Xenopus tropicalis: one gene and its partner. The main gene of each other region encodes a partner of the protein of the gene in region 2 in a complex. Links are inferred from orthologs where the notes say so. Each region holds a gene or a part of one and is shown on either strand. Other genes may lie near its edges.

What was found.
Region 1: the proteins of ncaph2 (region 2) and ncapg2 are in contact, whole or in part, in a cryo-EM structure (PDB 9F5W), measured with the Homo sapiens proteins. The link is inferred for Xenopus tropicalis from reciprocal best matches to the Homo sapiens genes NCAPH2 and NCAPG2. Residues at the interface, in NP_689512.2 of Homo sapiens: Pro316, Trp317, Gln318, Ser319, Leu320, Pro322, Phe323, Asp324, Ser325, Leu326, Glu327, Ser328, Lys329, Pro330, Phe331, Lys332, Lys333, Gly334, Arg335, Pro336, Tyr337, Ser338, Val339, Glu344, Gln360, Asp361, Phe362, Gln364, Trp365, Tyr366; in NP_001268861.1 of Homo sapiens: Lys248, Leu251, Gln252, His292, Ile294, His295, Leu296, Pro297, Arg299, Ser300, Val302, Lys340, Ala341, Arg342, Asn343, Ser344, Glu345, Val346, Pro388, Tyr389, Pro390, Arg393, Gly425, Glu426, Ala428, Phe429, Asp430, Thr431, Ser432, Arg437.

The regions. Positions count from the first base shown.
Region 1 is NC_030682.2:18,471,144-18,480,006, reverse strand, and holds part of ncapg2 (condensin-2 complex subunit G2), read left to right. Parts: intron 1-1,050; coding exon 1,051-1,167; intron 1,168-1,576; coding exon 1,577-1,714; intron 1,715-2,583; coding exon 2,584-2,683; intron 2,684-3,931; coding exon 3,932-4,122; intron 4,123-4,889; coding exon 4,890-5,033; intron 5,034-5,899; coding exon 5,900-6,003; intron 6,004-7,374; coding exon 7,375-7,475; intron 7,476-8,188; coding exon 8,189-8,291; intron 8,292-8,863. UniProt on the Homo sapiens protein: Regulatory subunit of the condensin-2 complex, a complex which establishes mitotic chromosome architecture and is involved in physical rigidity of the chromatid axis.
Region 2 is NC_030679.2:89,422,794-89,431,656, reverse strand, and holds part of ncaph2 (condensin-2 complex subunit H2), read right to left. Parts: intron 6,295-8,863; coding exon 6,241-6,294; intron 4,895-6,240; coding exon 4,824-4,894; intron 3,695-4,823; coding exon 3,586-3,694; intron 3,299-3,585; coding exon 3,221-3,298; intron 2,979-3,220; coding exon 2,923-2,978; intron 2,075-2,922; coding exon 1,973-2,074; intron 1,816-1,972; coding exon 1,666-1,815; intron 757-1,665; coding exon 616-756; 3' UTR 1-615. UniProt on the Homo sapiens protein: Regulatory subunit of the condensin-2 complex, a complex that seems to provide chromosomes with an additional level of organization and rigidity and in establishing mitotic chromosome architecture.

The DNA of each region.
Region 1 (8,863 bases), on a different chromosome or scaffold from region 2:
AACCAGGCAGTGGTTTAAATGATAGACTGGAAGATGAATAGGAGAATTGTAGCTTCAAATATCAAGAGTTTATTGGCTGCCAGGGTTAGTGACCCCAATTGGAAAGCGGGAAAATTATTCAAAAACTGTTAAAAAATTTAAAAAAAAAAATATATATATATATATATAATATATATAAAAGCAATTAAAAAGTTTCTAAGAAACACAACTGAAATATCTCCACTGCACTTACCTTACACCCCAAAGGCTGCACAAAAGGCATCCAGACATAGGACAAGAATGTCCCAGATGCCACCACTCCCCGGCTGATTTCCTACATATGGTGTGGAGTTGCCCACGGGCACAACGCTTCTGGGGGAAAGTAGCGGACACTATAAGGGACAGAACAAGCCTAATACTCCGGCTAGACCCAATAGTAATACTGCTAAATCAGGTAGAGGATCTATCACCCAAAAGGGCTGAAAGAACACTGCTCCTTATACTATGCATGTACGCAATAAAAACAATTGCTCTATACTGGAAATCACTTGAGGGCCCCAGAGTTGCATCGTGGGAATCCATGATTAACAAAGCTATACCCTTATACAAGTTAACATACATAAGGAGGGAGTGCCCTCTAAAATTTGATAAAATATGGTCAACGTGGTTAGATGCAGAACCCCCCTAAGACTTGCAGGTTGGGGAAGGCCCCACTCCCAAACTCCCCCTGAACAGCCCCCACACCTCACGCAAAAGTGTAACACCAACACCTCAATCATGCCCTGGGTGGTATGCAAATAGCCGCGAAGTAAAGGTTAACTTACGTACAGCATATGCATTAGTAAAGTCACTGCAATGTTCTTATTGTTATGTTGTTAATTTATTTTATTTACTTTCTGTACAATAAGCAAATGACAATGGAAAGAATATACTGCAAACTATGTACATTTAAACTTAATAAAAGAATTGTTAAAGTGAATTGTTCATACAGGAAACAATAGAATGATAATTACGTTTAATAAACATAGATAATGATTATGTTCCCTGCCTTTTAACTGCTAACTGTATTAGGAGGTGCTGTTCTGCTACATGAAGCCATCCGAAGCAGTGACACATAATATCAACCAAGATACAGCATTAAGAGCCTTCAGCCTGTACTGCAGACTCAGCATCCACCTGCAACATAAGGTAAATATGAGCATTATACACTAATTATACACCAATCCATCGCTTACCTTTCAGTGGTCAGAACTGAAAAAAGTGTCCCACTTGCTTCCGACGCAACTCTTTTACAGATTGTGGTGGATAGTTGCATCTTTAGATGGATGGGGTAGGTGCAAATACAACAACTGAGCTTAAAGTTTGGCAAAATAATAGTAAGCCTTCATAGATTCATCTTGATTTGAAACCGCCGCCGGACTTGTACATCAGTGTCTTATGTTATGCGTATTTATGTAACAGTAAATAAGCCTGCGTGTGTTCCAAAATGTACTTGTACAACGTTCTGTAGAAACCCCTTTCCATCATTATGACCAGGCATTGCAAACATCTAGGGGAACTGCCAGTAAAGCAGTAAAGCTCTGTTTGTGTTTAACAGTTTAGCTCTGAAGGAAGAACATATTTGTCTTTGCTGGAAGACACAGGAGGGTGGATCGAGAGCCAAGTCCTTCCAACTCTAGAAAGTAATGGAGACCTCTCCGAGGAGTCATGTAATATGTGCCATCAGATCCTCAAGGTAATATCACTTTTCGTGTTTGAAGGTTTGGATGTGGCAGGCCACAGTGATAAATGTTTCTGTATTTATTTGATTACTGTACTTTAAAAAATGTTTCTATGATATGTTTGAGGGAGGACCAGAAAAAAATGGTGTAAAATCCGGGAAAATGTAAAAAGTAGGGAAATCTGTTATGCTTTATATGGGGCCACAAAACTGTGTAAAAAGTTATCATGTTAAAGATGGGTTGTCATCACTCTGGTACAGGGGGTACTCCAGTCAGGGGCCCCTTGGCAGGGAGAACCCAAAGAAATGCAGCAGTCCAATTTGCAGGCTATGAAGGGTGTGGGGCTTGGGGGTAAGTAGGAAGAGTCTGGGTGGAATGTGGGTGTGTTATGTGTGTAATTAGCATGGTTAGGGTTATATCTGATTCATAGCCCGGAGAACAACTTAGGCAATTGTTTTTTCTAATTTGAGCCCCATTCTATTAAGTTGGTGGGGTCCACCACTCGGGGGGTGACATGCTGCAAAAAAAAAAAAGTACCAGTAAGTTGTCAGTGTATCCTATTTCCATCCCATGGTATCTCATCGGATCTGAGCTTAGATTGGTTCAGGTTGGTTATAACAAATCTCAGAAATATGGAATTCACGAGCACAAAAACTTGAATTGCAAAAAATGATCATAAATCCAGTGGGAAAGTCAGCTTGCCTTAGCCTTAATAAACTCAAATCTCCAGTCTTGCACCTATAATATAATATAGCTGAACAAAACTGTGCAATTAAAACGCATTATGCCACACAGAAATCCTAATAGAGGTTCAGATGCCCATGGCAACTCCTTGTGACCTTGGATAAGGCCCCTAACATCTAATTCCTTTATCTGTATACAGGCCTATCTGACTGTTTGTAAAGACGTATTGATGGTTGGCCTCGCTGACTCGGAATTTCAAGCCCAGCTTCTTCAGATTACTCTTTCAGTGATACAGACTGGTAAGGGGAAAATCTCAGTGAGTAATGGAATTTTCTTGCAGTGATCCTTAATGTTAGTAAAGGGGGTGGCATTTTCAAGAGAACTGTTGTCCGCGGTTGTGCATTTTAACAGTGACAAACCGCTGCGTGTCTTTGCCCTTAGATATGGCGTACTGATGCACAGGGCAGCTATCATAGCTTGAAAGTACAGAAATCAAGAAATTAAAGGTCCATCTCTGCAATGCTGTCCCCCCAAAGCTCTTTGGCAAACCTTCTTATGCCTGATCCCTTTCCCATTTCAGTCATGCTATATAGGCCTTCATTATTTCTTTTGTTATACTGATAAAAGCCTAACAGTGAATCCATGATAGCAGAGCAATGGTTATACATCTGTTTAAAATAATGAGGACATTTAGGGCCCCCTGTCACTAAATAACATTTTGCTGGGGTTGAAAGAGTTAAAGGGTAACTACAGCTTCTCAACCAAAATTTGTTAAAGAGCCCCAGACAACACAGAAACCTTTAATATATCAATGATTGTAATCTGTATGAATAAATACCATTTTACTGTATATGCTGAAATCCAGCTGCAAAACAGTTCTTCCCTATGTGCATCATTTGAAATCCTGGCAGGGGAGAAGGGACTAAAACATTGATGTTGCAGATTGCAACAACTTTTCCATAGCTTGCAGACAGCATGCAGGAACTACATAACCCACAATGCTTTGCACTGTGATGTTTCTTTCCTTATTGACATCACGTGTGCAGGGAATTGTGGGATTGGGAGGATGCAGGCTGAAGGCAGGCTGAGGACAGGCGACTACTGTTATATTTTATTTGAGTCACAAAGTAGCCAGCCAGATCAGCAGGGGAACAGGGGGCAGGGCTTAGGGAACTGTTCAAAACCATATTATTGCATTAAAAATCATGAAAAGGCTGCATATTTTTTAATTCAGGGGTGGACAAGACGTCGATCGTGGTCCACCAGTAGATCCCCCGTGGATTTCTTGTGGACCGTGACGAAGCATCATGTACCTATGCTGTGTCTTGAAAGAAGGAGTCATCGGTCGATTGCCGATGGAAAAAGTCTGGCCACCCCTGTTTTAATTGATGTGATTTACAAAGTTGCTTGAAATCCATGTTTTCTTTTCAAAAAGTTCAAGTTGTGTTTGGGTGGAGTTCCCCTTTAACGAAACAGATTTATTGATTGTTCTTCTAAATGGAATATGCTGTTGATATGATTAAGTTTCTGTTTTTTTTCTCTTCCAGAGAAGTGCCATGATTGTTTGCCAATGCTGTTCTCTGTGCTGAAGGAAATCACAGAACTGTGTTTGGCTCACAAGATGAGCGACGCCAGCGTGGAATGCGACGAGATGCTCGATGCCATCCAGAGAGTATTCCATAAGTCTTTGGAGACTGTCGCACGCGGGCTTAGAAAACAGAGGGAAGAGGCACTACCGGTATTGATTGGCACAGTATACATCAACTGTATCAGTGACACCGTTTAGCCAGCTTATTAGTGATCTGAAATCTGTAAACAACTGCAGTGTTACAAACTCACTCCATGTCAAAGCAGCTTGCATAGAAGTTACTGGCAATGAAAGGGTTAGCAAGCGAGGCCTATCATACAAGATAGCATTTGTGTATAGCAAGTACAGCTTAAGAGAGCTAACAAGTCAGAATTAATGGCAAGGATCCAGAACGATAAGGGAGAAGATTTCTGCCCAATAGAGTTTGCAGTCTAACTGTATTCTAGATGGCATTTACACACACCAAAAGCAGATTAGAGTTTTTATTAGCTCGAATTTAATAGGCCCAATGACCTGTATGTGCTGAAATGCCCTGCAGTCCCTGGATGTGCAATTAAAGGAAAGGTGACCAAATAAACGTTGGGTGGATTTGCCCTTTTCATATTTCTGCCTGCAAACTGAAATAAAATGTAATTCTAAACAACTTTCCAATATAAATTAGACAATTTAAAGGGATACTGTCATGATTTTTATGGTGTCTCTCAATTTGGGAACATAGCAGACCAGGATTGTAGCTGATAATTATAGATAAATTATAAATACATTATAGGGAAGTTGCACGCTATTTGCATGTGAGGAAAGGGCAGTATGAAAGTCCTAAATAATGAATTTTGTAGATTGATCTCTCTGGTTCAGTAGTTTTAATGCTGTTCTTAAATCCACCCTATGGTTTTGTTCCATGTGTTTATCCTTTGCAGCTTCTGCAAGCTATTCAGCCTTCTCTAGGAGAGTTTGTTCACACAGTTCAGTGCTGGCACACCGCTTCCAAGGTGGTACATCGAGGGATGCTTTCCACGCTGTTGGCTGCAGTGGTTGTTGAAATAAGCCACTCACTGCGCAAAGTAGGTTTTATGGTACTTGCATGCCTGTTTGAACTATAACACTCCAAATCAAATATTTCCTTTATTGGCTGCAAATAGTTCTTCCTTTCTGCTTGCACATTTAGCCAATCTGCAGGAATCTAATATAATATATGTCTTCAATAGATGTCTATGGATGCTAGTGCATCACAGCAATGAGAAATTGCTTTACAGTGCAGGTTGTCAGTCCAACTAAGAATGGGATTTAAGCTAATGGCACACCTTGTGGAAGCCAGTACTTGCCCAATACTTTGTGTCCCTCCTGCTGTTTGCTGGCACGTGCTTGTCAATGCGTACACATGGCTAATTTTTTTCCAGAAATTGCATAATTTAGCATTTTCAAGCCAACATTTTTTATTCAGCGATGGACAGAGAAAAGTAAGGATCCATCAGATGTGCCCTTAGCCTTACAGGCCTAATGGTCAAGGGCTTTGCTGTCATGGAGTCTATAAATGATACTGTGCATCTGTTAGAGATTGAAATGTAACATTAAGTTATCAGAATTTTGGATGATGCACTTGTTATGATGCTGCCATATATCTGTTCGTTTGCTAATGCCAACCTTGCTACCAGTGTTTAAAGTGCTGTTGTATACAGATGGAGCATTCTTTATGTTTGCATGTCCCACCGTATCATTTATAGATTTTTATTATTCTCTTTTTCCCCTCGAAGTCAGTGTTGCGACCACTGCCCTATCTAAATCGCTACATTTTAAAACCAAGTTTGTTTCATCCATAGACACCGCATGTAGTTTGCTCCAGCCTCCAATGCATGGCTCTATTACCGTAATAGTATCTATAGCTTGGTTATAACTGCACTGATCACTTACTTTCCAATTTTCTCCCTAGATTACAGATTTAAGTGAACTAACGCCACCCACATCTATTTCTGATCTGCCTCCGCTTTCAAAATGTATAATGACAATTATCGTTAAATCTCCAAGTGCTGTAAGGTGAGTGACTTGCAGTGATTTCCTTCCTGTGCTAAAGAAAACGACTTAAAGGACGAGGAAAGGTGAAATCACTGGGGAGTGCCAAAAATTAGGCACCACCCAGTGATTGGAATCATTTCCCTGAATAGCCCTGTTAGTAGAAAACTGCCCTGGCCTGGGATTCTTCTCATCGAGCACCATGGAGCGATTTTCTTCTTCCACTTCATTTTTCTAATATTTGGCACCCCCTAAGCTTTAGTTTCTTTCACAAGCAAATTCACCTGTGATACACTAATAACCCACTGCCTTTTTATAAGCTACTTAGTAACACTCGTAACAATGTATAAGCATAAGCTCTGGCTGTGGAAGTCCCTTACATGTATGTCGCAGGAGTCAGAGACTTCTAAGTTGTACACGTTATTTAAACTAGGGCTATAGGGGGTGATCCTACAGCTTCCCTTAGAGCAGGGTACCATACTGAGAGCTCTGAAGGGAGATGTGGGTTAAGGCTGACAAATATTTGGGCATCACCGATAACATCCCAGCTGATTCACTGACACAATATATGCCCTTGAATCAAGCAGTGTTGCTAACTGTAACCCATTTTCCTGCCTTGTGTTTGCATGTTCCCCTAGAGATGAGCAAGGGTCACTTCTAACGCTGATCTGTGTGATAGGTACCTTTTGCTAATTGGCCATAAATTGCATAGTTTATACCTTGCTGCTTCATTTAAAATGTCTGTTGTATTAGTCCCCAGTGTGAATGTGAAAGGCTCCATAGTTTGCTGGAAGCCAATAGTGTTTTGGCAAACTAAAGAACTTTCAACCACTGGTCTCCTACCGGCCAATTTCCAGGTATAGCTACCTCTATTGAGCAGGTAGTTCCTAATCATCTTTTCATAAAGTTCTGTTAAAATTGGAACTGGAAAACCACATTCAGATGATCAAAAAATGGACATGGTTCTCCTTTAAAGCTTTCCTGTCAGCATTCTGTTAAGTGTAAAATCTCTTCTGATTCTTGCAAGCAACATAATAAATGTACAGCTTAGTGTGGGAGTTAATAGCTGTAATTACTGCATGTAAAGGAAACCAGGCGCCTCGCTCCAACCAGCTTGTTGGAGCAGTCATAAAGTACATTTCTGATTGCAGTATGGTTACTCAGCTCAACCAAAAGCACAGTGGGAAACTTGCTGAGCTCCCAGAACATCACAGTGATATGTTCTATCCAACCTTATTTGCACAGTGTTAGCCAAGCAATGGGTTCAGGCACGGCGCCTTCACTGCACAGCCATTATCCATCATTCACATTCGCATCTGCAGAGTGAAAGCCATCATTGGGTAACAATAATCTCTTCATAATATAAATATATATTCTTTTTATCTCCCTACACAGTTCATTCTTGGATGAATTGACAGAATGCATCACATTAGAAGAAGTAGAAGGAATACTGAGCTTGTCCGCATCTTTGTATGTTGCTGTTGTCTGCAATAAAAGTAAGGAATGCAACGTGTTCCATATTGTTTGGCTGTTAATGTTAGCAATAAATGGATCCTCCGTTGCAAGCTTTCCAGTGAGCCAACAGTTTGGGGAGAAATGGGGCTGGAGGGACTTAAAAAGTAAATGATAAATATCAGAATGGTCAGAAGTAGATACAGGAACAGAGGCTTCATTAGAGAGACTAATGAGCAGGTGGGAGTTGCTGGACAGGGGGGTTATAGAGGAATGTTGGGAAGCGCAGCTTAGGGTGCCAGAGATAGGTGGGGAGAAGGTGGTGCTACAGGGAAGTACTATGCAAGCCATTTACAGAATGTCAGGAACTAGATCAGTGATTCCCAACCAGTGGTTCGTGAACAACATGTTGCTCCCCAGCCCCTTGGATGTTGCTCCCAGGGGCCTCAAAGCAGGTGCTCATTTTTGAATTTCTGGCTTGAAGACAAGTTTTGGTTGCATAAAAACCCAGTGTAAAGCCAAACAGAGACTTCTATAGGCTGCCAGTCCACATAGGGCTTACCAAATAGCCAATTATAGCTTTTATTTGCACCCCAGGATATATTTCCATGCTTGTGTTGCTCCCCAACACTTTTTGCATTTGAATGTGGCTCTTGGGTATAAAAGCTGGGAATCCCTGATCTAGATAAACAGATAACCTCTCTCTCTCCTTTGGATTTTAAGATTATTCCTAATGGTGATTATGCTTCTTTCTTAGGGAAACAAATACCCCCTGCAGTTAAGAATACTGCATCAGCAATTTATAGGAAACTGAAGAATTTCAGTGAGGTAACCATGGACGATGCCGGAAGCATTGAAAGGTAAGTTGGAAAGCGAGAACTGGAAGCAAGTTCCCATGGCCATTAATTGGCTTTCGTTTATGAAGTAGAAGCTAGGAAGGCAGTGCTCTAGAATGCTGGAGGTTGTGTTTCTGACATTGGGTCTCTGTGATAGGTAAACCAGAATCACTTTCACTGTTCAGACAACTCCCTGGCCCAGTTCTTTCCTGCTGTTTTCAGTAAAAGTGGGCTGATTACTGAACTATGTGTGATTAGTCTGGCAGCCAGTAGGGCCACATTCAACCCATGGGCCTCCAGTCCTGGCCAAGCCTTTCTCATAGCCTGTACAGAAAGATTGGATTTATTAACAGAAGTATTCAAACACCCGGCTGCCCAGTACATCATTCTGAAACCAAAGGTTAGTATGGAGTTTGTCCTTCCTTTGCTGCTAGAACATCCTCTATTGTACTGGGAAGGTTTTCCTGTAGATATTGGAATATTGGCGGCGGGATTCTTCTGTTCAGCCACAGAATCATTAGTAATGTCGGGCATTGATGCCTAATAGGTTTTTCAGTTCATCCCACTGAGTTCTGTGTGAAACCTTGATATATTGC
Region 2 (8,863 bases):
ATACAGACTTGCAGAATATCAAATAATCTTCAGTCCACTGATACATAATAATGCAGATTTTTATAGATATAAAAGCCAAAGACAAATAGGAATGCTGTACAAAGAAAACGGATAAAACAACATATGTACAGTACTCAGATCAAATAAAATAGTTACTTAAGGTGGCCCTGACTACATAGCTTTTCCACAGAGCACTTTGTGTATTAACCACAGTGGTACCAAAGCAGGAATTAGAATATCAATAAACACATTCAATGCAAAGGAGCATAATAGTAATTATACATACATTAGAATGCTTAGTCTAAATAATATGCGCCCTGTACAATAAAGTTGCCCCACCCACAGTCATGATTTGCATGATAATTAAGGAACTGTACAGGTTGGTGACTACAGCACGGTGGCATACTTCTGAGAAGACTAAAATTCTAGCTTAAAAATCAAATCCAAGGTCAGCATTTTTCTGCAGTGCCTTTCAGAACCCTGTGCTTGAAGAATACTGCAGCCACATGACCATGACTGGGTCACACAATGTCCACTGGCTGTGCACACCTGAGCGGTATATAGCAGGAGTACTTTAGCAGCTTACACTGCAAACACAAGGCTAAGAAGAGTCTGTCACTGCTGAGAGATGGATGGCGCTGTGTAGGTTTTAAACCTCTCGTGTGCTTTTTGCTGACTTAATAGGCGCAGTGCCATAGTATCCAAACCTTCGTGTAGGCCAGGTTTTTGTGAAACTTCTACAGTGTAATCATTAGCCTGGAGAGAAAACAAAAAATTAGGAAGTGAGGAGAAATTCTGGATGTACAAGAGGCTGCCAAAGAAAACATACATTCATTTGGACATGGAATGCATTAAACCGTTTCAAAGACTGGCCAGTAATAATTTGATAGGAGATTGACTACATATATTTATAAAACATTAGTTCTCCTCTTACAGTGGCCCACAAATCAGTCTGACCAATTTAAGGAGTCCATAGGGTATGACAAAATGCAACAAAACATGTGCCTAGGGCCTATCAAAGGGCTGAGGTTTTATCTGTTTAACCCAGGTTGACAAAACTGTCCAATACATTTCATTGCAGAACTACATCAACCCAGCATGATAAAGGACACAACATATACTATCTTACTAGAGATAAAAATATAAACAGATGCTTTTTGGGTAAACATGTTCTTCGGTATCAGACTTTCTCAAAATCCATCATTCCCATGGCGAGTCTGCACAGCGCTCACCCCTCTACTGCTCCTCCCTCCCTTAGGAATGTGTGATCTGGCCTACCAAGGGCTAGAGCTGCAACAGGAAGCTAAACTGGCACTAAATGACACTAAAATGGCAACTGCTATCTTATACAAACAGAGGGAGCTTCTAGTGCTCTTTACTCAGGTATGGTAAAGCTTTCTGCAGAATAAAGTGTTCTAGGTGGCACTAATTGCTACACAAATTTTCAGGCATACAGGATGGTTCATTTAGGGCCACTATGCCTTGCGAAATGTAAAAGAATCAAGAGATAAATGCATGTTTATTGTATTTTGTCATATTTCTCCAACCCTTTTTTATTTTAATAAAAAAACACCAGTTAATGGGCTGTAATAGTTTAACAAAACCAAACTCTTGATGACTTAGATACAATAGTGATCAATAAATCTATTGTAAGCTATTACTCACCAATTGAAGGGATGCCAGCATGTATCTGCACACCTCATAGGGTTCTTTGTCTGCCATGAGACTGGCAAATGAACGCCATTCTCCTACTTTACTGAATTGTGCAGTTAATCGGTCGCCATAATCATGAATGTCAAAAGCTCCACGTTCTTCCTAGAGGACAGGAAAATAATAGATTTTTTTTTTTTTTATGTATGATGCTGCTGGGAACAAACTGTAATTGTCAGGCCTGCAGCTGTAAAAACCTTTCCATTTAGATACCTAAACCTAATGCCATAATGTGACATATAGATAACAAAGTCTGACTTACCTGTTCCTGTAACTGTGGGCCCATTTTATCCTCCCACTCACGCACCCGCAATGAAAGTACAGTTTCCTGGGCATACTTCTGAGAATTTGCCATGAAGAGCTCCTGGAAAAAAAGTGACATGCAAATAAGGAGCAAGGAAGGATGATGAATTCTGAGAGCAGAAGGAAGGGGGAGAGAAGAGCAAACTGAGCAGGCTTGTACCCTGCCCTGAAAGATGTTTCTGAGAGCAGGAAATCTGACACAGAAGATCATGCATACATGAGATCTCAGAGCAGCAGTTCTGTGAGTGCTTATGGCTGTATGTACATAGACCCTTCTGATATAGCTTAGTTCATTTTTACCTTTCCTTCTTCCTTTAAAGCTTTTTTGCAAACAGAACCTGAGGGAAATGTGTTCCTTAAGGGTTAGTTTAGCTTTACGTTCAGTTTTAGTATGCTTCGCTCATATTTTATAGTTTTTTAAATAATTGCATTCCATTTCTGCCTCTTTCCAGCTATCAGAATAAAAAGCTATTTGTCTTACAGGGTCACTGATCCCGGCAACAAAAAAAAACTGTTGTCCTATGAGGTTACAGTTTTATTATGATTGTTATTTTCAAATACTTAACTTTTTGTTCAGGCCCTCTATTTATTTTTCAGTCTGTCATTCAAACCATTTTCTGATTTGTAGGTTAAATTCCAGATTGGAGTGCCGCTGAAAAAAAAGTTTACTCCCGCAGGAAATGTGCTCAGCTCTTCCAAGCTTAAAATTTTAATGCAAGCACCTAAAGAAAATATTATTTTCAATACCAAACAGCACAGGTGTTTTTGATGCTGTCTCTGCTAAGAACCCTGGTATGATGCCTACTGGCAGCCTTTGCTTTGACGTTTCCTACCTATATAGCTGTAATACTGTTTCAGCCCAGTGGGAGAAAATATTAAGCAAAGAAATAAGAACAGGAAAGTACTCACCACATTTCTTCTCACCAGCTCCTCGTAACTTAACTGATCATGGAGAGTTACAGGCTCTACACCAAAACAGACTCAAGGTCAGGAAAGGAGCTATGCATACTGTAACTCCAAGTTATACAGCACATCTTCAGTTACCAATATATAACTATTTAAACTTTCATATCAAATGAAAATTAAAAATATAGATATAGAGTAATCTCAGAGAAAATATTTGGGCACCTAATAAGACATTACAAAGACCTGGTGAACTACAGCCCCAATAATATTTCATAACAGTAAAAAAGAAAGAATGTACTACCTATATCCCCAAGGGCAGGCTCCTCACGTAAACAGGCTGGAATATTCTCTCCCAAATCTTCATGGTCTGAAGCATCATCTAGATAAATATAATAAAAATAGTAATTTATTCATAATGTAGATATACATTGTAGTCCCTAACTCTCTGACTACGCAGGTCATAATCATTCATGTTAAAAGGGTTAAGGGCGCAACAACCAGGTGGCAGTGATGTAATAAACAGATTGCATTTTAAGTTATTTACTATTAACTCTTACATGTTTGAGTTTGATTCAATGCTTTTTTTTCCCCCCAAAAACCCTTTCCAACCTTCCGTTTTATAAGGAAGTCATAATTCAGTTAAAGATCACTACAAACCATACATACCTGCAGGACCATCATAATCCAAATAATCTGCATCACGAGGCTCCTCCAAAGGATTAACTAGCTCTTCCTCTTGATTCAACAAAGTAACCTCTTTCACAAACTGTGCACCCTGCATGAAATTTGTGTACGTTACAAAAGAAAAAAAAACAACAGTACTAACAGAACCAAGTTGACAGCTGGCCCTCTACATGTACCGGATAAAATCATACAAATAATGCTTACGTTCAGAATTTGAAGAGGCCCTGTTAGAGAAACATTTTTGCAAATTATCTTTTTTAATTAAAATGTGTAGTTTTGAAGTTAAAGACCAGTATCAGCACTGTTAAGACTCTCTTTGCTCTCTCCTTTTTCCTAGAAAGGGATTGGCAACACCTGTACAAGACAGAAACTTTACAGGGAACTGGTTCTGCACATGCCTTCCCTCTCCTGCTTCATTTGCATTTCATTGATCCGACTGGCTGAATCTTGCCAGCTAAGGGCTCTGGCACACCGGGAGATTAGTCGCCCGCGACAAAACTCCCTGGTCGCGGGCAACTAATCTCCCCGAGTTGCCTTCACCTGCCATCCCACCGGCGAAAATGCAAGTCGCCGGTGGGATGGCACACGGCGGCGCGATTTCGCGCAAATCGCCGAAAAAGCCTCGCGAGGCAACTTCAGCGATTTTCATATGCAAATGAAACAGGAGAGGGAAGGCATGTGCAGAACCAGTTCAATGTGGCCTGAGAAATCCCCTAGAGAGAGCAGATTGTAACAGTGTTGATCCTGGTCTGTAGCTTCAAACTACACATTTTGAATAATAAAGGTGATTTGCAAACATATTTTTTCTGACAGGGGCTGTCCATATTTACACTATTGTCTTTTAACAGAAGTAAGACTCCCATATGGGGTAAACCTTAACATGGCAAGTTGGCATTGCAGCTTCATAATTACTAACTTGTAACTACATAACCTGTTTTTGCATATTTAATCACTTGCAAACATGAACTAAAAGTAAATCATGGGGCAACAGGGTAACTATTAATCACATTCCCTAGTTTTATCGTACAGCCATGACTTGGTGGAATGGCTAGGAGAATTTGGCTTCAGATCAAAGAAAAGTAGCCTAGGGATACAGTTTGGATCTTTACAGAATAGTGCTCTCTTAAGCTGTAGAGATGAATATAGTTACGACATCATAACAGAATCAGCTACACAGCACAAAAATGGAAAAAAAATCTGCCCCATAACCACTCCTTTACCATCCTCCTGTGAAGCTGCCTTTGTGCAGTCATTCGCTCCTTTATGTGCTTCCAGTACAACACTTCCATGTCTGGGAAAAAAAAGAAAACACAGGATTAGTTCCAATGAATGTAAAGGAAAAATTATGAATGAAAAAAAAAATGGATTAACCAGAGCTGGTATATATAAATTTATAATTCACAAATTCACTGATCCAGAGGATGGATAAGAATTAAACCCACCATTTACAGCTTCTATACATAACCAGGCTTTTTCAATCACATAAAAGGGACCACATAACACAACAGTGAGTCTGCCTTGAGGGCATTTAAAATGTGCTTCTGTACGGTCACAGTGCTGTCAGTAAGTCATGCAGCTTATGTATACAGCCAGTTCAAAAATTCAAGCAGTTACAATGTTTTACAGCACCTCAGAGAGGAAAAGTATAAAATGAAAAAGGAGACAAACTGAAATAAAAGAAGCAACAACTGCTGGTATTGCAGGCGCATCGATTTCTCAATGACATAGACAGAAATCTCCTGTTTTATGGCAGGGATCCTAGATACAGACACAGTAGAGTAACTGCAAGGTCAATAATCCTTATCTAAAGGATACTGCAAACATAACTAGGAGGGGAGGACCGAAAATTTTTTTATTTAGGGCAATTGTGCATGGGTCAATTCTGAATGTTATGCAGTAGCTAAAGGGGCATCACCTAATAGCTCGTCAGTGTCTATGACAATTGCATGAAAGTACTAGTGCAAGCACTTGTCAGGTGATGGTTGCTTAAATGCTAGGCACATGGCAGGAACTACTTTCCATTTGAACTATTAAAAATCGCGGATGACAAATCACCCTTTGTGCTGAGGCCCTACGAGATACATCATAATATACATTATACATTGGTAAAATGTACAAAATTTGAACTTTTTATGCACCATACATTAAAGTTTACTGTAAAACATTTAAACATTAAATGAAGCCAGCAGGAGCTTTCTGCATACCTGCACAATTTAATTTTTATTAAATATTTAATGTGAGTAAAAAAAAAATGCACTGACTGCTAATATTTCCTATCTCTCTGAAGCAAAACTACATAATCCTTCACAAAGATTTATCATAAATAACTAAAGTCAAAAATTAATTTCCTATAAGTACTCTCATCAAAATGTCTATGAAGATTCTTATTCATCCAGGTCATGATATACAGTATCTAGTAGAATTAAGTCCAAAACAACTGGACTTTTCTGAAACGTGAATCTCAGAAAAGTCCAGTTGTTTTAGACTTAATTCTACTGTACACTCATCAAAATTTCAGCTTTTGTGTTTAGCTCTCTGGTACTATAAAGGAACATTATGATAAAGTGCTGGATGCTGTTTGGCCTTTTGTTAAAGTTCATACCACACACTTTAGAATCCTGATTTGCTTATATTTACCTGCAAATGTTGGCCCTTTCCTTCGCAATTTCATGGCTTCTGAACCATCCCAATCTGTAAATAACACATAACATGAGAATGGTAGATTTGGGGGTCATTCTCTGACCCAAGATGGATCACACAGCTATTAATATTACAGATTGGTACAGATTATCTGATAAGGACCTGTCAAAAAACTTTAGGCAATACGATTTTTTACCTATGGACAAAATTTTATGGTCAGACCTTAAGCTCAATTTGTTTAAAATAAAAATGTATTATTGAAATCAATCAATAAACTGCTTGTGTAAGTTATATACCTCCATTGCCATGAAGTGCTTTGAGCGTATAGTCAAGGCTCACATCACATCTTTACTCCCTGCTTCACTTGATCCGCTCCAGTTTGCCTACAGGTCAAATAGATCTACAGACCATGCCATAGCAACTGCACTTCACACTGCCCTCTCCCACCTGGACCAAAGAAATACATACGTGTGGATGCTGTTCATTGACTATAGCTCCGCTTTCAACACCACCATACCATCCAGATTTGTCATGAAACTCCGTGACCTGAACATCGGTTCCTCCCTGTGCAGCTGGATCCTGGACTTACTGACAAACAGACCTCAGGTGGTTCGGACCGGCAACATCACCTTATCTAAACTGACACTTGGCATTGGTCTCCCCAGGGATGTGTGCTCAGCCCCCTGCTGTACACCCTGTTCACCCAATACTGTACAGCAACACACAGCTCCAATACTATCATCAAATTTGCAGACGACACCACCATCATCAGCTGCATTTCTAATGGAGATGAATCGGCATACAGGGCAGAGGTGAGAGCCCTGACATCTTGGTGCCGTGACAACAACCTGCTGCTCAACGTCAGCAAAACTAAGGAGCTCACTGTGGATTACAGGAGACTGCAGGTAGGAGGCCATACCCCCATTCATATTGAGGGAGCAGAGGTGGAGAGAGTCAGCTGCTTCAGATGCCTGGGCATCAATATCAGTGAGGATCTGAGTTGGTCTCACCACGTTGGTGTGATCACAAAAGCTGCAAGACAGCGGCTCTTCTTTCTGCGGCGCCTGAGGAGGTTCGGGATGGACTCCAGAATACTCACAAACTTCTATCGATGCTCCATCGAGAGTATTCTGTCTGGCTGTATCACCACCTGGTATGGCAGCTGTAATGCTTTGGAGCGCAAAGCTCTGCAGAGGGTGGTGAGATCAGCACAGCGCATCACCAGAAGTGAACTGCTGGCCATGCAGGACCTGTACAGACAGCGCTGTAGGAGGAAGATGCAGCGGATCCTCTCTGACCCCAGCCACAGACTTTTCATGCTCCTACCATCAGGCAGGCGGTACAGGAGCATCCAGACCGCACCAGCAGATACAGAGACAGTTTCTACCCACAAGCCATCAGGCTTCTGAACTGCTGACATTCTGCACACACCAACACACACACTCCCCATAACGACTGGACTTTTCATAATGTCACTTTAAGCAATGCCACTTTAAATTCTTTAAATCCTCACTGCACAATCTCAAATACTTCATTGCATTTTTTATTGTAAATACTTGTACCTTTATTGCACACTTTTATTATATTAAATATTTGTTTTTTTTTGTTTTTTTTTGTCTATGTAAAGTTTGGGGGAAAATGGGCCAAAAGAATTTCACTACGGTAATGATGCTTCATTGTTATTTGTATATGTCAATAAAACTGGAAACTTGAAAATTAAAAAAAATATACCGAAGTGTAATTAGGTCTCCGGGGAATCGTTTTAGCCCCGACTAAAATGGTTTGGCCAGCACGAAATTGAAACTTTTGGATTTCTATATAAATTAATGACACATTAATGACACTTTGTTGCTTACAGTACATAAGTAGACCTATTGGGTGTTATAAAGATGATTTATAGTTAAAACACAAAATATGCTTCAGGAAAACAAATGATCCTTTTCTAACAAATGTCATTTAATCACAAATTGCACACCTACCATATCCCCAAATAACTTTGCAATAACTTGTTCGATATGTGCAGAATGTGTGTTTTCCTTTCCCTTTACTACAATCCTGCTTACTTTCCCACCCCTTCTTTTTTGTTTGTGCTGTTCGACAGACCACAATAGGTTTCTCATTATCTTTATAGTGACCTAAAATATTTATTAAAAAGAGCCTCAAACAAAAGCAAACAACAAACTTTACAAACTAAGGTATTTGTAAACAAAAAAAACCCATATATTATATAATTTTATATATATACATACATATATACATATATATATATATATATATATATAAAACCTACCAATGAAAACAAAGCATGCGCATTAACAAGTGACTGTCAAATACAATGCACAGAAAAATAAATATAAATATTTATATATATATATATATTTTTTTTTTTTTATGTTCCTGTTTGTTACCCACTGCTGAATGGGAGATACTTATGCACCATCCCCTAAAGTTAACTTCCTAGCCTCCAGCATTAACTACATAAAAAGTTAATTACCTATGAGCACTCACATACATAAAGACATTAAGTGGCGGTGTGAGGGGCCAGAAATATTTGTCCTAATATAGGGAAAAAGTACACAGAAAGCTGCACTTCATTTTTAGTCTTAATTCATTAGCAGTG